Macaca fascicularis: one gene and its partners. The protein of the gene in region 1 purifies or fractionates together with the protein of each later gene. This does not show direct contact. Links are inferred from orthologs where the notes say so. Each region holds a gene or a part of one and is shown in the gene's direction. Other genes may lie near its edges.

The links. Proteins that work in one complex are often made in the same cells at the same time.
Region 2: the proteins of KDM6A (region 1) and KMT2C purify together in Homo sapiens (affinity purification with mass spectrometry; 3 studies listed by BioGRID and IntAct, with this or other methods). This does not show direct contact. The link is inferred for Macaca fascicularis from reciprocal best matches to the Homo sapiens genes KDM6A and KMT2C.
Region 3: the proteins of KDM6A (region 1) and PAXIP1 purify together in Homo sapiens (affinity purification with mass spectrometry; 6 studies listed by BioGRID and IntAct, with this or other methods). This does not show direct contact. The link is inferred for Macaca fascicularis from reciprocal best matches to the Homo sapiens genes KDM6A and PAXIP1.

Annotation. Positions count from the first base shown.
Region 1 is NC_088395.1:45,164,253-45,169,753, forward strand, and holds the end of KDM6A (lysine-specific demethylase 6A), read left to right. Parts: coding exon 1-84; intron 85-1,930; coding exon 1,931-2,101; intron 2,102-3,245; coding exon 3,246-3,275; 3' UTR 3,276-4,116; downstream 4,117-5,501. UniProt on the Homo sapiens protein: Histone demethylase that specifically demethylates 'Lys-27' of histone H3, thereby playing a central role in histone code. Demethylates trimethylated and dimethylated but not monomethylated H3 'Lys-27'.
Region 2 is NC_088377.1:193,417,789-193,424,116, reverse strand, and holds part of KMT2C (histone-lysine N-methyltransferase 2C), read left to right. Parts: intron 1-1,916; coding exon 1,917-3,641; intron 3,642-6,328. UniProt on the Homo sapiens protein: Histone methyltransferase that catalyzes methyl group transfer from S-adenosyl-L-methionine to the epsilon-amino group of 'Lys-4' of histone H3 (H3K4).
Region 3 is NC_088377.1:196,266,636-196,272,963, reverse strand, and holds part of PAXIP1 (PAX-interacting protein 1), read left to right. Parts: intron 1-1,797; coding exon 1,798-2,545; intron 2,546-3,042; coding exon 3,043-3,137; intron 3,138-6,328.

The DNA of each region.
Region 1 (5,501 bases):
GAAGCTCTTATTGCTGCAGGAAAAGAGATTATATGGCATGGGCGGACAAAAGAAGAACCAGCTCATTACTGTAGCATTTGTGAAGTAAGTAATTGTTCTTATCCACAGTTGTTTTATAAAGCCTCTTCCCTCTCCACTTTTGATTTCTCTTTATTTTTAAAAAACTTTTTTATACTTTTGTGTAATCCAGTTTATAGTAATTAATATTGTATTCAATTTTGTTACTTAGCCATTATATTAAAATTCAGTGTGATAATAACAATATTTCACTGCAAATTAACCTTAAAAGTATCTACTACATAGTCATTTTTGTGGTAGATCTTCAACAAATGATAATCAGCAAATTTAGTCTGAGATTTTAAACTGGGAACAATCTAGATGTACACAAATGCCAATAAACTGAATGTTTGGTATAACTCTAGGCAGATCGATTATCAGTCCTCTCTGGTGCAATTCACAATATATTTGTCAATATTGTGTGGCCAAGGCTTGCAAGAGGTGTAGGAACAAAGATGTGGCGCCTGCTATGAAGGAGCTTAAATTCTACTTGGAGCAGAGAGATTATAAACAACTAATTGTAATGTACATGAGACTATGATGAATGTGAAGTTGGACTTAATGATAACACTGAGGGGGAAAATGACCTGATTTTTTTCTTCTAGTATTGGCATAAGAATTCACAAAAGTATTAGCATTTGAGTCCGTCCTTGAAAAAAGAGTATGATATCAGTAGGCTAAAAAAGTGATGAGAATCGGAAGTAGACTGTCATGGGCTATAGGAACAAGAAGAGAACGGGGAAATGGAAAGGTTTTAGAAAAGGTTGAATGTGTTCCAATTTGGCTGGAACACAGACTGTGCAAATTCCACTCGTAAGTCTAGGTGGCATGTAATTTGTAGCACATCTTGAATGGTTTTAAGGAATTTGATAATCCAAGGTCACTGAAGCCATTAAAAGGTTTTGAGCAAGCAGCTAAGGGTGAGATATGTGTTTCAGGGAGAAAAGTGGTTGGAAAGGACAGTGATATATAAGCTATTGCAGTGGTCTTAAGAGTTGTTATTTTAAGGCCTAGACTAGAACCTGGCAATGGGAATATTAAAGAAGGGAAAGAATTAAAAAATATTTAGAGGGTAAAATCAGTGAGACACCTCATTAAATGGCAGAAGTAGAAGGACAAGTTGAATGCTCACCAATTTTCTAGCTCAGGTCACTAGGTTTGTATTGCTGCCTGTTGACAGTAATGGATAACATGGTGAACTCTAGGATTGTCGTTTACTGTTAAAAGAAGACATGAGATCGTAAGAGTTTTCTGTCATTGAAGAAATTTAAGGATAAGCCAAAGACAGGTTGTTGATGGTTCATTTCAAACCTTGAAATTCTGTAATTCTAACATCAACCTGTATTTGAAATGATTGAATCCATTGATTTTTTTTTTTTAATGTTGTATGACCTGACCAAAGTAAGTCATTAGGAGATCAGATAGATTCCAGTTAGATGCGATGTTCCTTATCCTACCTGAACCCTAGCAACTCATCAATCTTTCTGTATAAGACAGAGGTATTATTTCTAAAATCATGCTGTACTCATGAATACATAAAAATGATCACTTACATCTGATTGTATGCTAATGTTTTAGATTTAAAAATAGGTTGACCTTTATCAAACTTTTGAACTGGGTTCAATGACATGAGTATGTCATTCCCTTTGATTATTCCCCTAACTATGCATTACTACCCATGTCTTTGGATTTGGTGCAAAATAAACCTGGTCTGTTAAAGAGTCTCAAACACAGCCATGTTTTTCTTACCACCTACTCTTAACCAGAGATCACTGTCCACAATTTCATTCAAGTAGAATTCCATGATTATACTAAAGCAGTACAGTGAATACCACCATCTCTATTGAATACGTTTTTCTCTTGTATAAAACAGGTGGAGGTTTTTGATTTGCTTTTTGTCACTAATGAGAGTAATTCACGAAAGACCTACATAGTACATTGCCAAGATTGTGCACGAAAAACAAGCGGAAACCTGGAAAACTTTGTGGTGCTAGAACAGTACAAAATGGAGGACCTGATGCAAGTCTATGACCAATTTACATTAGTAAGTCAAATCAACATGTGAGTACATAGTTAGCTGGGTTATGAAGCAGCAGTGTTTGTTCTGCCACCTGATAAGTAGGAGGTAATGAAATATTTTAAATTTCCCTTTGGCTCATTACATATTGCATGAGGGTGTATTCATATCATTCCCCCCTCCATTTCCAAGTATTTATTCCTATAAAATTGGCATATATCATTTTCAGTTTTCTTCCTGGGTAAGACCAGCCTAAATAATTTTACAACAATTACATTTAAAAATCTTCACGTGCTTTAGATGGAACACTATCATATCCTTTATGTCATTTTATCTCAGTTGATAAGTTGATAAAATGTTTGTGTACGTAGGTTATTAGAGCCCACAAAATGAATCAGTAAATGTGCTTTTAAATATACTTCTGCTTTTAGAGCTAATTGTATTTGTTTAAAATTTTGTCCTTGCCAGAAGTATTAACCTCATGGGAATATTTAATGGAGCTTAACTTCCTGGTATGTTATATAACCTTATGAAATTCAAGTATACTTATAAATTGCACACAGTTTTTAATTTCAGACAGCAGATGCTTGGGGGAAGCATTTTACTTTAGCAGATCAATAGCTTTATGAATAGAAACAGAGATAATTTATGAATTGTTGATTTTCTCCAGTACTTGTCTCCCACACATATGTGATCAGAAACTAACTTTTTGAAATTTAGTTTCTGATATTTTCACTTGAATAGTCTTCAAGATTGCTTGAAGAAGAAAATTATCTGGACTATGTTGAAGAAAATATATTACCTAGCTGAGATAGATTCTGAAGACAGTCACTAGTGAAATTGTAACTTGTTAAATTATTTTTCAAGAAGCCCCCCTTTTTTTAAGCAATCTTAAGAAACGGTAAACTTAATAACATTCCAAGAGTTTTTGACTAATTGGTGAAGAAATATAGAAAATTGCAAGTACGCTGAGTAGGATAATGGTCTTAGACTCTTAGGAAAATTGGCTGAATGGGAGATAGTAAGGTAGGTTGTACTTTTATGTTGTGTAGCAGGCTGGTGAACTTTTTGAGAGTTATTTCCCCTGACTTCATAAGCAGACTATATGTTTGTAGCCATGAGCTATTAACAATTTGTATATCAAAATAACCTACCTTACTTTTATTTTCAGGCTCCTCCATTACCATCCGCCTCATCTTGATATTGTTCCATGGACATTAAATGAGACCTTTTCTGCTATTCAGGAAATAACCCACTTCTGCACCACTGGTTTTTGTAGCTATCTCGTAAGGCTGCTGGCTGAAAACTGTGTCTATGCAACCTTCCAAGTGCGGAGTGTCAACCAGCTGGACGGGAGAGAGTACTGTTCCTACTCCAGGACTCTCACAAAGCTCATCAGCTGTACTTCACAAAAAAATAATAATTTCCATGTTTTGTATATATCTGACAAAACTGGCAACATCTTACAGACTACTGACTTGAAGACAACCTCTTTTATATTTCTCTATTTCTGGGCTGATGAATTTGTTTTCATCTGTCTTTTCCCCCTTCAGAATTTTCCTTGGAAAAAAAATACTAGCCTAGCTGGTCATTTCTTTGTAAGGTAGTTAGCAATTTTAAGTCTTTCTTTGGTCAACTTTTTTTTAATGTGAAAAGTTAGGTAAGACACTTTTTTACTGCTTTTATGTTTTTCTGTCTTGTTTTGAGACCATAATGGTTACACTTTTGGTTCCTAAATAAAACATTAAAAAAATTAACAGCCAAGTCACAAAGGTAATGGATTGCACATAGACTAAGGAATAAACTTCAGATTTGTGATTTTTGTTTCTAATCTTGATGTAAATTTACACTATTTATAAATACATATTTATTGCTTGAAAATATTTGTGAATGGAATGCTGTTATTTTTTCCAGATTTACCTGCCATTGAAATTTTAAGGAGTTCTGTAATTTCAAACACTACTCCTATTACATTTTCTATGTGTAAATAAAACTGCTTAGCATTGTACAGAAACTTTTATTAAAATTGTTTAATGTTTAAAGAGTTTTCTATTGTTTGAGTTTTAAAAAGACTTTATGTACAGTGCCCAGTTTTTGTTCATTTTTGAAATCTGATTATATATATTTTATATATACTTATGTATGTATATATAATATATATAGAAATCTGGATATATATGTATAAATATTTAGAACTTAAATTTTTCTCGTTTTAAGTTTCACATCTATGGTAGATTTTTGAGGTGTCTACTGTAAAGTATTGCTTACAAAAAGTATGATTATTTTTAAAGAAATATATATGGTATGTATCCTCAAGACCTAAAATGTCAGACTGGTTTATTGTTAAGTTGCAATTACTGCAATGACAGACCAATAAACAATTGCTGCCAAAATGTAGTATAATAGTAGAAAACAAATAGTGATTGAACTTAAGATTTTAAAAGGAATGTTATATGGGCTTGACAAATCCTGTACATGACTTAGTAACATTTTATATGGAAAAGGGGATTCAGGATGAAGGGCTCTATTTTAGAATGAAAATAAATTAAGAGACTTATTTTTTAATGTTAGGCAATTTTGAAATCTCATGCTTTTTTGCTTGCATGACATGATTTGGGGGAGGAGTGCTGCAAATTCCCCATCACTAGTAAAATATAGCAATCTATATTAGCGTTCACAAGTCACTGCTAATTAATGATAGTATTTCATTTTGTAATAACAGCACCTTGCATTTGTACCTCCATTTTCTGAAGCATTTGACACATACTCTCATTTAATCATATTGTTCTTTGTATGAATTTTCCAGGAAGCATTAGTGAAGAAGCATAGAGAATAGAGAATGCTGTAAATCAAGATTATATAGATATGGCTAAAGAGAGCTTATTCTATTTCTAGTGAAATGCCCTGCTGATTGCATTAATCACATACTCTTTCAGATTTAGAGTATGTTGTCCTCTTAGAAACAGTTTGAAGGTTGAAAGCATGGAGATACTTTTTTCGACTAGTTAATAATTTGGTAAATATTGGCTATCTACTAGAAGTAATCATCTCTTAATTATAATTTCAGAAGGAAAGAATTCCAAATCTATTTTAATTATGGAGCAAGAATGCTTGTCTAAATGCTATTCAGGACATTTAATCACTAATATTTTTAAGTGGTTTTCTTGTAAAATCTCCTATCCAAAGGTTATTGAGAATAACTCAAGACGAACATTTTTGCAAACGAAAATTGCAAGCCAACCATCAAGAAGCAAAGATTATAAGAATGCTGAACCACTACCTAAATGTTTCTTAACCTGTTCTAGTTTATCTTACTGACACTGTCTTATTTTCTATGATTTTAAGATAGTTTATTGCCAAGATTAATTTATCTGACATTTAAGAGAATAAGTTATCTGACATTTAGATAAATTATCTGACATTTAAG
Region 2 (6,328 bases), on another chromosome or scaffold:
GCACTCCAGCCTGGGCAACAAGAGCGAAACTCTGTCTCAAAAAAAAAAAAAAATCCCAAAAAATACCCCCACTGTACATGTTTGCTCATAACTATTAGATTAGGGATTTGGACTCAAGTGTCTTATCTTCAAACCGCAGCTACCACAATAACGTACCAACAATAAGGTGATTATAATTCCAATTGTTTAAAACTAAGATTATTCCAGAATGAAAGTTTTCTTTTCTCTTTAAATCTACTCTCTGGGTTCATGTTTACTGTAGGTTAATATTCTTGTAAAGATATGTTTAATAAAGTTTTTGTTTTTTGTCACTTTTATTGCCTTCTGGCATATTTGTACAAGGTCTTTTGATAAGGGCCTAATTTTTGCATATCCATAGATCAAATCCTATTTAGAAGCTAATACTTGAAAAATGGGATACATCATCTATTACATAGTTGCCAAAGATCCAGTGTAATCATATTAAGATAAGCAGTTGATGGTAATGTTTTAAAAAGTATTATAAAATATCATGGGAAAGACATGGATGACCACCTTATATATCCCAGATGCTGTTATAGGTGCTTTCTGTACTTCCTTACTACTTCACCAACCAATGGTAATTTCTCAGTTCTAACCAGTAAACTGGCCAGGAAAAATAAGAAAATAAAATAGGTGTTACACAACTGTTGAAGAAGAGATCAAACATCATTATTTGCAGAAAATACTGGTTTACCTGGGGAACCCAAGAAAATACTTTGAAAAATGATTAGAACTCCTGGGTTTAGCATATTAGCATATTTGTCTAAAAATTGAATGATGTTGAAAGATATACACATCATTTTGCATTCCTTCTTTCTCTAGCTTGCTGAATGAGATGGTGAGGTCCTCTGGAACATAGATTCCATTTTGGTTGATACTTGGTCTGTAGTATTGAGCACATTGGGACACAAAGGTTTTTGGAATGAATTAATTGATATTACTCAGCTGTTATATTAAGGGACTGTTGCCGGGCGCGGTGGCCCGCGCCTGTAATCCCAGCACTTTGGGAGGCCGAGGTGGGCAGATCACGAGGTCAGGAGATCAAGAGCATCTTGGCTAACATGGTGAAACCCCGTCTCTACTAAAAATACAAAAAATTAGCCAGGCATGGTGGTGGGTGCCTGTAGTCCTAGCTACTCGGGAGGCTGAGGCAGGAGAATGGCATGGACCTGGGAGGTGGAGCTTTGCAGTGAGCTGAGATCCGGCCACCGCATTCCAGCCTGTGCAACAGAGCGAGATTCTGTCTCAAAAAAAAAAAAAAAGACTATAGACTATTCAAAATACTACCTCAGAGCTTGTGTAGATTTCAAAAATTACAATTTGAGTGTTAGCCATTAAATTGAAAGTGTTCTATAAACTTAGTCTTTTTCATCTGGGCGGATGGTGTGATACTCATGCTGGTAATTCATCTTGTCTTAAAATGTTGTACAATTTATATATTTAAGAAATGAAATCTTAACATATTTAAATGATTCAAGTTTGAGTTAAGTCTGTTATTCTAACATTGTGTATTAATGTAATTTCTAGAACATCAAAATTAGCTGCTTGTGTAACTTTTTTTTATTGTGTATTTTTGATGTATAGTATAAATAGTATATATGAGTTTCACAAGATTTTAATACTTATTTTACAAAACCGTTTTTGATATTTCATATGTGAAGCGCTTTTACAGATAACTTTATAAAAATCCTGTTGTTAAAGAAAGATTGATAGTCATTAGTTAAGCCTCATCAGTTCAACTTTTTTGTGACTTTTGCAGTTACCCAAGCAAAATATGTTTGCTTCTACGGGGCCAAACTGCCCTCTGTATAACCTCAACCAAAGTCATCAGCCAGTGTTTTACTTCAATACCTTTGCTGTATATAAATGAGTAATGAGGCATTTTGTTATTCCAGATTCGTAAACAACAGAAAGAACACGCTGAATTGATTGAAGATTATCGGATCAAACAGCAGCAACAGCAGCAGCAATGTGCGATGGCCCCACCTACCATGATGCCCAGTGTCCAGCCCCAGCCACCCCTAATTCCAGGTGCCACTCCACCCACCATGAGCCAACCCTCCTTTCCCATGGTGCCACAGCAGCTTCAGCACCAGCACCAGCAGCACACAACAGTTATTTCTGGCCATACTAGCCCTGTTAGAATGCCTAATTTACCTGGGTGGCAGCCCAACAGTGCTCCTGCCCACCTGCCCCTCAATCCTCCTAGAATTCAACCCCCAGTTGCCCAGTTACCAATAAAAACTTGTACACCAGCCCCAGGGACAGTCTCAAATGCAAATCCACAGAGTGGACCACCACCTCGGGTAGAATTTGATGACAACAATCCCTTTAGTGAAAGTTTTCAAGAACGGGAACGTAAGGAACGTTTACGAGAACAGCAAGAGAGACAACGGATCCAACTCATGCAAGAGGTAGATAGACAAAGAGCTTTGCAGCAGAGGATGGAAATGGAGCAGCATGGCATGGTGGGCTCTGAGATAAGTAGTAGTAGGACATCTGTGTCCCAGATTCCCTTCTACAGTTCTGACTTACCTTGCGATTTTATGCAACCTCCAAGACCCCTTCAGCAGTCTCCACAACACCAACAGCAAATGGGACAGGTTTTACAGCAACAGAATATACAACAAGGATCGATTAATTCACCCTCCACCCAAACTTTCATGCAGACTAATGAGCGAAGGCAGGTAGGACCTCCTTCATTTGTTCCTGATTCACCATCAATCCCTGTTGGAAGCCCAAATTTTTCTTCTGTTAAGCAGGGACATGGAAGTCTTTCTGGGACCAGCTTCCAACAGTCTCCAGTGAGGCCTTCTTTTACACCTGCTTTACCAGCAGCACCTCCAGTAGCTAATAGCAGTCTCCCATGTGGCCAAGATTCTACTATAACCCATGGACACAGTTATCCGGCATCAACCCAATCGCTTATTCAGTTGTATTCTGATATAATCCCAGAGGAAAAAGGGAAAAAGAAAAGAACAAGAAAAAAGAAAAGAGATGATGATGCAGAATCCACCAAGGCTCCATCAACTCCCCATTCAGATATAACTGCTCCACCGACTCCAAGCATCTCAGAAACTACCTCTACTCCTGCAGTGAGCACACCCAGTGAGCTTCCTCAACAGGCCGACCAAGAGTCGGTGGAACGAGTCGGCCCATCCACTCCCAGTATGGCAGCAGGCCAGCTATGTACAGAAGTAGAGAACAAACTGCCCAATAGTGATTTCTCTCAAGCAACTCCAAATCAACAGACTTATGCAAATTCAGAAGTAGATAAGCTCTCCATGGAAACCCCTGCCAAAACAGAAGAGATAAAACTGGAAAAGCCTGAGACAGAGTCATGCCCGGGCCAAGAGGAGCCTAAATTGGAGGAACAGAGTGGTAGTAAGGTAGAAGGAAATGCTGTAGCCTGTCCTGTCTCCTCAGCACAGAGTCCTCCCCATTCTGTTGGGGCCCCTGCTGCCAAAGGAGACTCAGGGAATGAACTTCTGAAACACTTATTGAAAAATAAAAAGTCATCTTCTCTTTTAAATCAAAAACCTGAGGGCAATATTTGTTCAGAAGATGACTGTACGAAGGATAATAAACTAGTTGAGAAGCAGAACCCAGCTGAAGGACTGGTAAGTGTAAATGATAAAAATGACAACTTTTTTCTTTTGTTTTAAATTATACTTACAGCAGATTAGTACCAACAACTATATTTCCACATTATTCTACAACCTTTTTATTCTAAAGGACCATTTCTTATTTTATCATTTCTACCTCTCTGGAACCCATGTTTTTACTTATATCTAAACTATATTAAATAATTTGTTTACTGTTTTTTAAAAGGCAAAGGCATGTATTGCATTTCATATGTAATGTGATGTGTAGCAACTGGTTGATATGACTAAAGCAAAGTAAGTAAATGTCTATGTACTTTATTGTAAATAAGTGATTAATTTCCATTCACCTCTTTAAAATACGGAGGATAGCCCGTGCACTCCTATGAATACCCTTGGCACTCTTCGGGATACCACACTGGGAACCTGTTGTGTTACAGTGTTGCATTGATACTTAACGTAATGTTACATGTGGATGCTATTTTGTAGTTTTCCATGTATCAATTTTCTATCAGTTTTAAGTTATTAACATTGAATTTGCTTTTTCTTTCTTTTATATGAAGAGCTAAGTCGTAAATATACCTTTACAAGAATCCCTCCCCTTTATTTCAGTTAACTTCATTAAGATATTTCCAAAACTGGAGTTTCTGAGTCATGGGAATTGGTCTGTTTAATAGCTCTTGCCTTTTGTATCTTTCAGAAGGTACAGCGCCATTACCAGTGCATTCATAAAGCTGTCCCTAGAGAGCTTCTCAAATTGGATTTTATTTTCATATTTTAATTAAGGGTGGAGTGTATATTTAGTTGTCCAGTTTTTTCGTTTTAAGATTGTTAATGAAGCTCATCTTTTTGCAAGTGTTGCTCTTTCTCTTGCCTTTGACCATTCAGTAAAGATTGAGTGTTGACTTGGTAGACCTGTGTAATTATTGTAAATTTTAGCGGTTATGCTTTTACAGTTATTTGTCACCAGTAAATACAGCCAACTCTCCAGCACAGTCTCCATCCGCTTTCTCTAAGACATCTTATACCCGGAGGAGTATCGAATAACTTGCAGTCTTCTGTCTTTTTACCCTTCTATGTATACCACATGCTGCTGCTTCTGCCTCTTCTGTTCTCCTTTCTTATATATGTCTGGCCAATATATTTTTATCTTTTAAAACGCAGTTCTTGAATCATCTTTTTCCAGATACCTTTCTCACCTCTTCCAATCTCAAATATGTGTTGATGCCCATGTTCTCACATAGCAGTTTCTGTTGTACCATTTAACATTATTTAAATAGCTCCTTGAAGGATGTAGACTACATTTTGAGCATGTTTATATTAAAATTCGTGCTGTATAAGAATGTGTAATGCTATGGGGAACAACCACATGTCAAGTTTAAAAATGTAGGCCCCCCCTAATTAAAGTGTGATTTAAATAAATAAGTATATATGTATGTATATAGTTATTTAAGTCTATATATACACATATATAATTAAGAAATTTTTAGGTTCTTGCCCCTCAAAGTGCAGTCCTTGGGGATCCGCAGCATCCACATCGGGTGGGAGCTTTGTAACATGCAGAGTCTCCCACCACAGACCTGCTTCTCAGAACGTGAGACTTAGCAAGATCCCCAGGTGACTCCTGTGCATCTGAAGGTGGAGAAGTATTGCTGTAGGCCGGTGATTCTCAAAGCTAAAGTGTGAGGATCACTATCAGGGCTTGTTAAACCAAGATTGCTGGGCCCCAGCATTTCTGATTCTGTTGGTGTGGGTGGGACCCGATAATCTGCATTTCTAAACCAGTTCTAGATGCTGCTTCTGCCCTGGAGACTCCCCTTGAGAGCCACAGAACTAGCCTGGAGATGAGTAGTCTGAGCCTGCTTTCGTCTCCCTCCATGAGCTAAGAATGGCTTTTACATTTTTAAATGGTTGAAAAAAAATCTAAGGAAGAGTAGTATTTTGTGACACATAAAAATTACACAAAATTCAGACGTGTCCGTGAATTTTAAAAGTTTTATTTGAACACAGCCAAGCTCATTTTTGTATGAATTGTTTATAGCTGCTTTTGAAGTACAAGGACAGAGTTGAGTAATTATGCCAGGGGCTATATGGCCTACAAAGGCTTACAGTATTTACCATCTGGCTCTTTACATAAAAATGTTGCCATCTATGCGCTAAACTATTTAGAATATAACTGGAAACTAATTTTCAGAACCCTCAAAGATTCGATACAGAATTCATTACAGTAAGTTCAGCTACTATAGTTGTCTATAGCAAAGTATTGCTGTTAAATTTAGAAATAATGGAGCCTGAAAATATTCCTTTATTTTAAGGTATTGATAGGACTACTCTTAAAGGCCTTTTCAGGGCTTGGCTTATTCTCACTTTGTAATGATAAATGTAAAGAAAAGGTTTATTTGTTATCATCTAGGTTCTCTCCCATTGACTTTAAGTATGTGGCCATTATTTTTCAGTCAAATATAGTTGTGAACTAATTTGAAGAAATGCTGTTTTTTCTTTTTATTGTTGTGTGGTGCTATCTGTTCTCTCACCTAAGATGCATAGGCTATAAAGCTTTTCTGGAGCCTGTGAATTGTTTCAGCATACCTCGTATTTCACTGGTTCCTAAGGGGAACCAAAAATAACTCAGCAAGACCACTATGCAGAGGCTCCTACAGCCATCTACAAGCATCTCCTTCCCTTCTGGAGTCAGTGAGCAAGAA
Region 3 (6,328 bases), on another chromosome or scaffold:
ACTATCCCTCAGAGTTCCATGGGCTGTTTACATATGAGGGTAAAAAAGTAATATGTGTACAAAATTCAAAAATTCAAATGATACCAAAGGACAGAGTGAACAGTTAAACTGTCCGCCCCCTCCCACCCCTCATTGCTGTTTACCTTCTCAAGAGGCAGCTGCTATTTCCAGCAGTTTGCCGTGTAGGGCTCATGGCTGGTGCCCACCAGGCAAGCAGGTGCCCCACACATGCATGCTTCTCTAGGGGGTGTTCGCACAGCACCAAATGCTGCTGGGCTCCGGGGGATGGCATGTGATGGGGTGAATTTTCCCCTCTTCTTTTCTGGATTTTTAAAAATACTTTTAAATATGGAGATGAAACAGTTGTCTTATTATTTTGTTTAAAAGACATTTTTCTGCTTAGAGTTCCACTCAGGTGTTTCTGAAGTCTTGAATCTCATAGAGATGTTTCATACATAAGGTGATTCTAAAGATGGTTGTACCTAAGCTCTTGATTTTGACTTATTTCAATTCTAAACACAATTATTTATCACTAAACCCAAAATCTGTTACCCTTGCAGGTCATATAACCTTTGCAATTTGGAGTCTGTTTAAGTGAAAGATACATGTTAGAATATGTTTGAGATTTTGTTATAGTTCTGATATGTGTTAAAATCAAATTCCTAGAATTTTGTTTACATTTTAAATGCTTTTATTAGGGTTAAAAGTTATATGGATTGAGTTTAGTAAAATCTATTTTTACTGATTTCCATGACCATAAGAAGTTGGTTTCAAATTTTTGTTGCTTGAGCATGTGGAACAAAATTCATTGTATAACATGTATCTTTTGTTGTATTCAGTACACTACAGGATATTAAAAAAATAACTTGCTCTTCTTGGTGGGCATCTGCTGGTCACCGTCCTTCTCCTACTCCTCAGTGTACGCAGAACTCTCAGCCTATTCCCTGTCATTGTGAAGCAGAAAGAGCTAGAAAACAAAGAGTCTGGTTTGAATTCTTTTTTTCTAGCTTGAAATATTTTTGTCCCACATGAAGAACTCAGTCATTTTTGAGGAAGCATCATTTCCCAACTCTAATGATGAGTTCTTAGTTGGGAGAAACATCACCATTGAAACAGCTCTGGTGGTGTCTTAGCTGGCCTCCTTTTCTGAAGAATGCCAGTGTACATAGCAAGTTGACAGTGGAGCGAAGGGCTCTTGGAGTCACAGCTTAGGTCATGCTGCTTTCATCAGGAAGGTGATTCACTGAGAACCTTTCTTTACTAGACTCTGGGCTGTAAGACAAGAGGAAATGGGAAGTGGCAGCTGTGGCGAGAAGGTTTGAGGTGAAGCTGAACCTGATTACCAGATGCTTTCACCACCTGTCATTCCTCAGTGCATTCCTGGGCCAGGAGAGGGTCTGCGGAGCTGATGTGGGCGATGGGCAGTGGAGAGGCGCTGCGGACAGTGCAGGGAGCACCGAGGCTTAGCCTCCACTTGTGCACAGGACTCACACGCCTTGCTCTGGCAAGCACATCAGCCGTCTGAGTCTTTGTCACTTTAATTCGTTAGTTTACTCCATTTTACTAACGTAGTTTCAAATTTTGGTGGTCTCAATATGTGAATGTACTTTATGATATTGGTGTTACAAAATAAATACAAAAGAAAATGCAGTATTATTTTGAAGTTTCCAGTCATTTGCTGTGTCTGCTTGGTTGAATATTGTTAATAAATAGGATGCTATTATTCTCATGACTAAGAAATTATCATCCGTCTGTTTCAGGAACGACTGATAATGTTTCACCCAACTTGTTTTGTAGATCTTACAGACGCTTTCAGCACCTACGAAAAATTTAGAACAGCAGGTGAATCACAGCCAGCAGGGACATACAAATGCCAATGCAGTGCTGTTTAGCCAAGTGAAAGTGACTCCAGAGACACACATGCTACAGCAGCAGCAGCAGGCCCAGCAGCAGCAGCAGCAACAGCACCCGGTTTTACACCTTCAGCCCCAGCAGATAATGCAGCTCCAGCAGCAGCAGCAGCAGCAGCAGCAGATTTCTCAGCAACCTTACCCCCAGCAGCCACCACATCCGTTTTCACAGCAACAGCAGCAGCAGCAGCAAGCCCATCCGCATCAGTTTTCACAGCAGCAGCTACAGTTTCCACAGCAACAGTTGCATCCTCCACAGCAGCTGCATCGCCCTCAGCAGCAGCTCCAGCCCTTTCAGCAGCAGCATGCCTTGCAGCAGCAGTTCCATCAGCTGCAGCAGCACCAGCTCCAGCAGCAGCAGCTCGCCCAGCTCCAGCAGCAACACAGCCTGCTCCAGCAGCAGCAGCAGCAGCAACAGCAGATTCAGCAGCAGCAGCTCCAGCAGCAGCAGCTCCAGCGCATGCACCAGCAGCAGCAGATGCAAAGCCAGACGGCGCCACACTTGAGTCAGACGTCACAGGCGCTGCAGCATCAGGTTCCACCTCAGCAGCCCCCGCAGCAGCAGCAGCAACAGCAGCCACCACCACCACCACCTCAGCATCATCAGCTTTTTGGACATGATCCAGCAGTGGAGAGTTAGTAATGGAGATTTTTTTTTTTTCCCTCTCTCCTAAAAGTCTTGTACTCACATAAATGCTTTGAGAGTGTTTGAGTGTGGGGTAAGGATTCATGTCAACACAATTATTACAACATGGAGAGTGTGAGTCTCATACCTAACAAAGAATATCGTTACCATGGGATAATTATGCTTTCTTTTGTACTTTGGGACATCATATGCTGAAGTGAATATTGGTGTCCCGTAGAACACCTAGGCTGCCACAGGGACTCCTTCAGGGTATTTAATGGCCAGGCATGAGTTACGTTGGTTTCAGTTTTTAATGATTATTTGATGTAGACAGATAACTAGTATCTTTGTAGCAATATTCCCCATGCACTCTGATTACTGGTAGATATGTCATGGTCAAGACTGATTAACATAACAGAATCACGTTGCAAGGCACCACTGTTTAACTTTTGTGCAAGCATATTCATAGGGTTTTAATTTTCTTTTTCTTGTATAATTTTACTCTAGTTCCAGAAGAAGGCTTCTTATTGGGATGTGTGTTTGCAATTGCGGATTATCCAGAGCAGATGTCTGATAAGCAACTGCTGGCCACCTGGAAAAGGGTGAGATTGTGCCTGGAGGAAGGACGACTGTATCTGAAGATGCTTCTTTCTTATGTAGATGTAACTATGTTCACTGAGCTGCATTCACTGAGCTGCATTCACTGAGCTGCACCTGCATGTGTTATAAATGTGTGATGGGCATTTTGACTAACATTCCCTGTGGCCTCAGGCACAGCACTTTTCTGGGCATCAGTTTTCTCAGCTGTTAGATGAAGATGGTAGACTTCTTATTTTTTCAGCTTGGAAATTCCAAGGGGCACTAATTATATGTGTATAATGGGGACGATGGGAATAAGTTCAGGTTTTTGGTGTCCTGGGAGAGGGACCATTAATTTGTGTGGATCTCAGTCATTTCTCTTTCTCTAGAGGTAACTGTTAGAAAATCCCAGAATCTCTAGGACCTCAACTTCTTCCAGCCCAATTGTGAAACTGGAGTTAATTTAATTATTTATTATTTTGCATGGTGGCCTTTAAAGAAAAGAAATACTTTTTCTTGCATTCCCCAAAACAAAACTGAGTCAAAAAAAATTTTTTTTATAAAAACTGAGTTTAAATGTGCCTCTCATATATCTTGAACGTGCTTCACTATAAACATCTCTAGTGCTTAAACCCCACCTGTGTGCCAAGCGTGCTGCAAGACCTAGGGAATATGTGGGAAATCACAGACGGAGAAAACCAAAGAGCAGTGCGAGAGGCAGCCACACAGCTAAGCAGAGGCAGGGTGGCAGATGCAGGCTGTTGTGAGAGCCTGAGAAAGGACCTTCACCCATCATGTTGTGGGGTGATGTGTTAAGAAAAGACTACTGGGGCCGGGCGCGGTGGCTCAAGCCTGTAATCCCAGCACTTTGGGAGGCCGAGACGGGCGGATCATGAGGTCAGGAGATTGAGACCATCCTGGCTAACATGGTGAAACCCCGTCTCTACTAAAAATACAAAAAAAATTAGCCGGGCGAGGTGGCGGGCGCCTGTACTCCCAGCTACTCGGGAGGCTGAGGCAGGAGAATGGCGTGAACCTGGGAGGCGGGGCTTGCAGTGAGCTGAGATCCGGCCACTGCACTCCAGCCTGGGCAACAAAGCCAGACTCCGTCTCAAAAAAAAAAAAAAAAGAAAAGAAAAGACTACTGGGAGAGGTGATTCCTGAACTGCTTATTATAGGATGAGTAGGAGTGAGAATTAGAGGGGAGGATTTTCCAAATGGTGTAGCACAGCCAAAGGCATGTGATTGGGGAAACTGACAGGAGGGTGCAAAGGACGGTGCCTCAGTGGGATCCACAAGGCAGGGGTTGGGGCAGGAGCCAGGGCTGGCATGTCTTCCAAGACCTTGTTGATGCGCCATGTGGTGGAGTTTAGATGCAGGTGAAGTGATCAGCTGTGCATTTCAAGTAGTAAAGGGTTGAATCTGAAGGTGACCAGAGAGATGACTGTGGTTGGCTGAGGAAAGAGGCGGATGGCATGTGCTAGGGGGAGGGAGGAAGGGGGCAGTTCTGAGAAGGACAGCAGCAGAGATTTTTTAAAAGTCAGAAGTGTTTGAAGGCAGCACTGAGAAACTGTCTTGAGAAGTACGACAAAACTCAAAGATACCAAAGTTAGTGGAGGAAAGTTTGGGTTTTTTGTCTTGTTTTCAAGTTAAGGATTTATCCAAGAGGTCTAACATTAAATAGGAGCTCGGGAACAGAGAAAATGAAGGCAAGAACGTTATGAAAGAAAATACCTTTGCAGCTGAAGGCCATGTGCCCTCAGATAGAAAAGAAATATAAGGAGAGCCGTGATAAGGCAACTGGGAACGTTCACAATGCTGGTAGAGAAAACTGTTTTCTCTCAAAGACAAGCTCACTGGAGGGGAAACGTGGACAGATCAGGAGTCAGGGCGATTTCGGGAGCCTCCAGTCCAGTGCGCGGGGGCCAGCAACGGAGCAGCTTCTTCCATTTTTGAGGGAAAATAATTTCCAACCTAAAATAACCTATAGAGCCTGTCAGTCCTAAGACTATGGAAGGAGGATATTTGTACACTAATGGTCGAAAATGTACCTCCGTTATATTCTTCCTTAGGAAGCCACTATGCCAGCAGAGAGTGAGACCTGGTAGCCAGGAAATGAGGCGTTTGACTCAGAGATGACAAGAGAGTTCCTAGGATGGAGGTGAAGGGAAACGCTAATAGATGAGAAAGTAGGTGTAGAGAGAACTAGACCTGGGACCGGAAGAGAGACTTCCTGGAGGAGCAAGCAAACAAAAACACTGGTGGATTCAGGAGAGACATGTACGGCTGACCCCTGAACAGTGTGGAGCCTAGGGGTGCTGATCCCCATGCAGTCAGAGATCTATACATCACTTTTGACTCCCCAAAGCCAGAATTACTAATAGCCTGGTGTTAACCAGAAGCCTCAGTGATAAACAGTCAATTAATGCATATTTTGTATATGTATTACCATATTCTTACAATAAAGTAAGCTAAATAAAAGAAAATGTTATTATGTTATTAAGAAAATCATACGAAAGAGAAAATATAAGTTACAGGAGACTCACACTGTCAATTCCACCATATTCAATGACTAAGTCTAGACCATATTTAAGACTAGGGGAGTATACAGTAATTTGCAGACATACTATAAAACCGCCACATGTACATTTTTCATAGAGTTTGGGAATGAAATAGTGAAAAGTATATAGAAAACTAAGAAAAGGGCAAATTCTGGGGGGCTGGGATAAGGAAGTGATTAGCACCAGGGAAAACCAAAGTTTATACCAGAAAGGAACTCTCATCTTAGGCTGCCATATTAAGCCATGTGGCTGGGCTGCGTTAAGTCACTGATGACTGATGTAAACAAGAGTCTGGCTATAACCAAATCAGGAAGGCTTGAAGAGTGTGTGTTATGGTGGGGAAGGGTGTGCACTGTAGGAGGTCAGTAGATGGCCACGTAAACTAGAGAAAAGGAACTAATGTAAAGTGTTAGTAGAATATATTCATACTTTCGGAAGAAACAGCTTCAAGTGCTGAACGTGCTTCCGGGGAGTGAAAAGCAGGGATTGGCGAGGAACCTGTGGTTCTGTCCTGTGCCTCATTAAACTATATTTATGCTTAGCCGGAGGAAAAATAAACATGTACATCTTAAAAGTAGGAAGTGAAGCAATCGGTTTTTTTAGGGGGCAGGTCTTTTTAAAGTTTATATTTCACCCAATAGGCTGTCAAATTC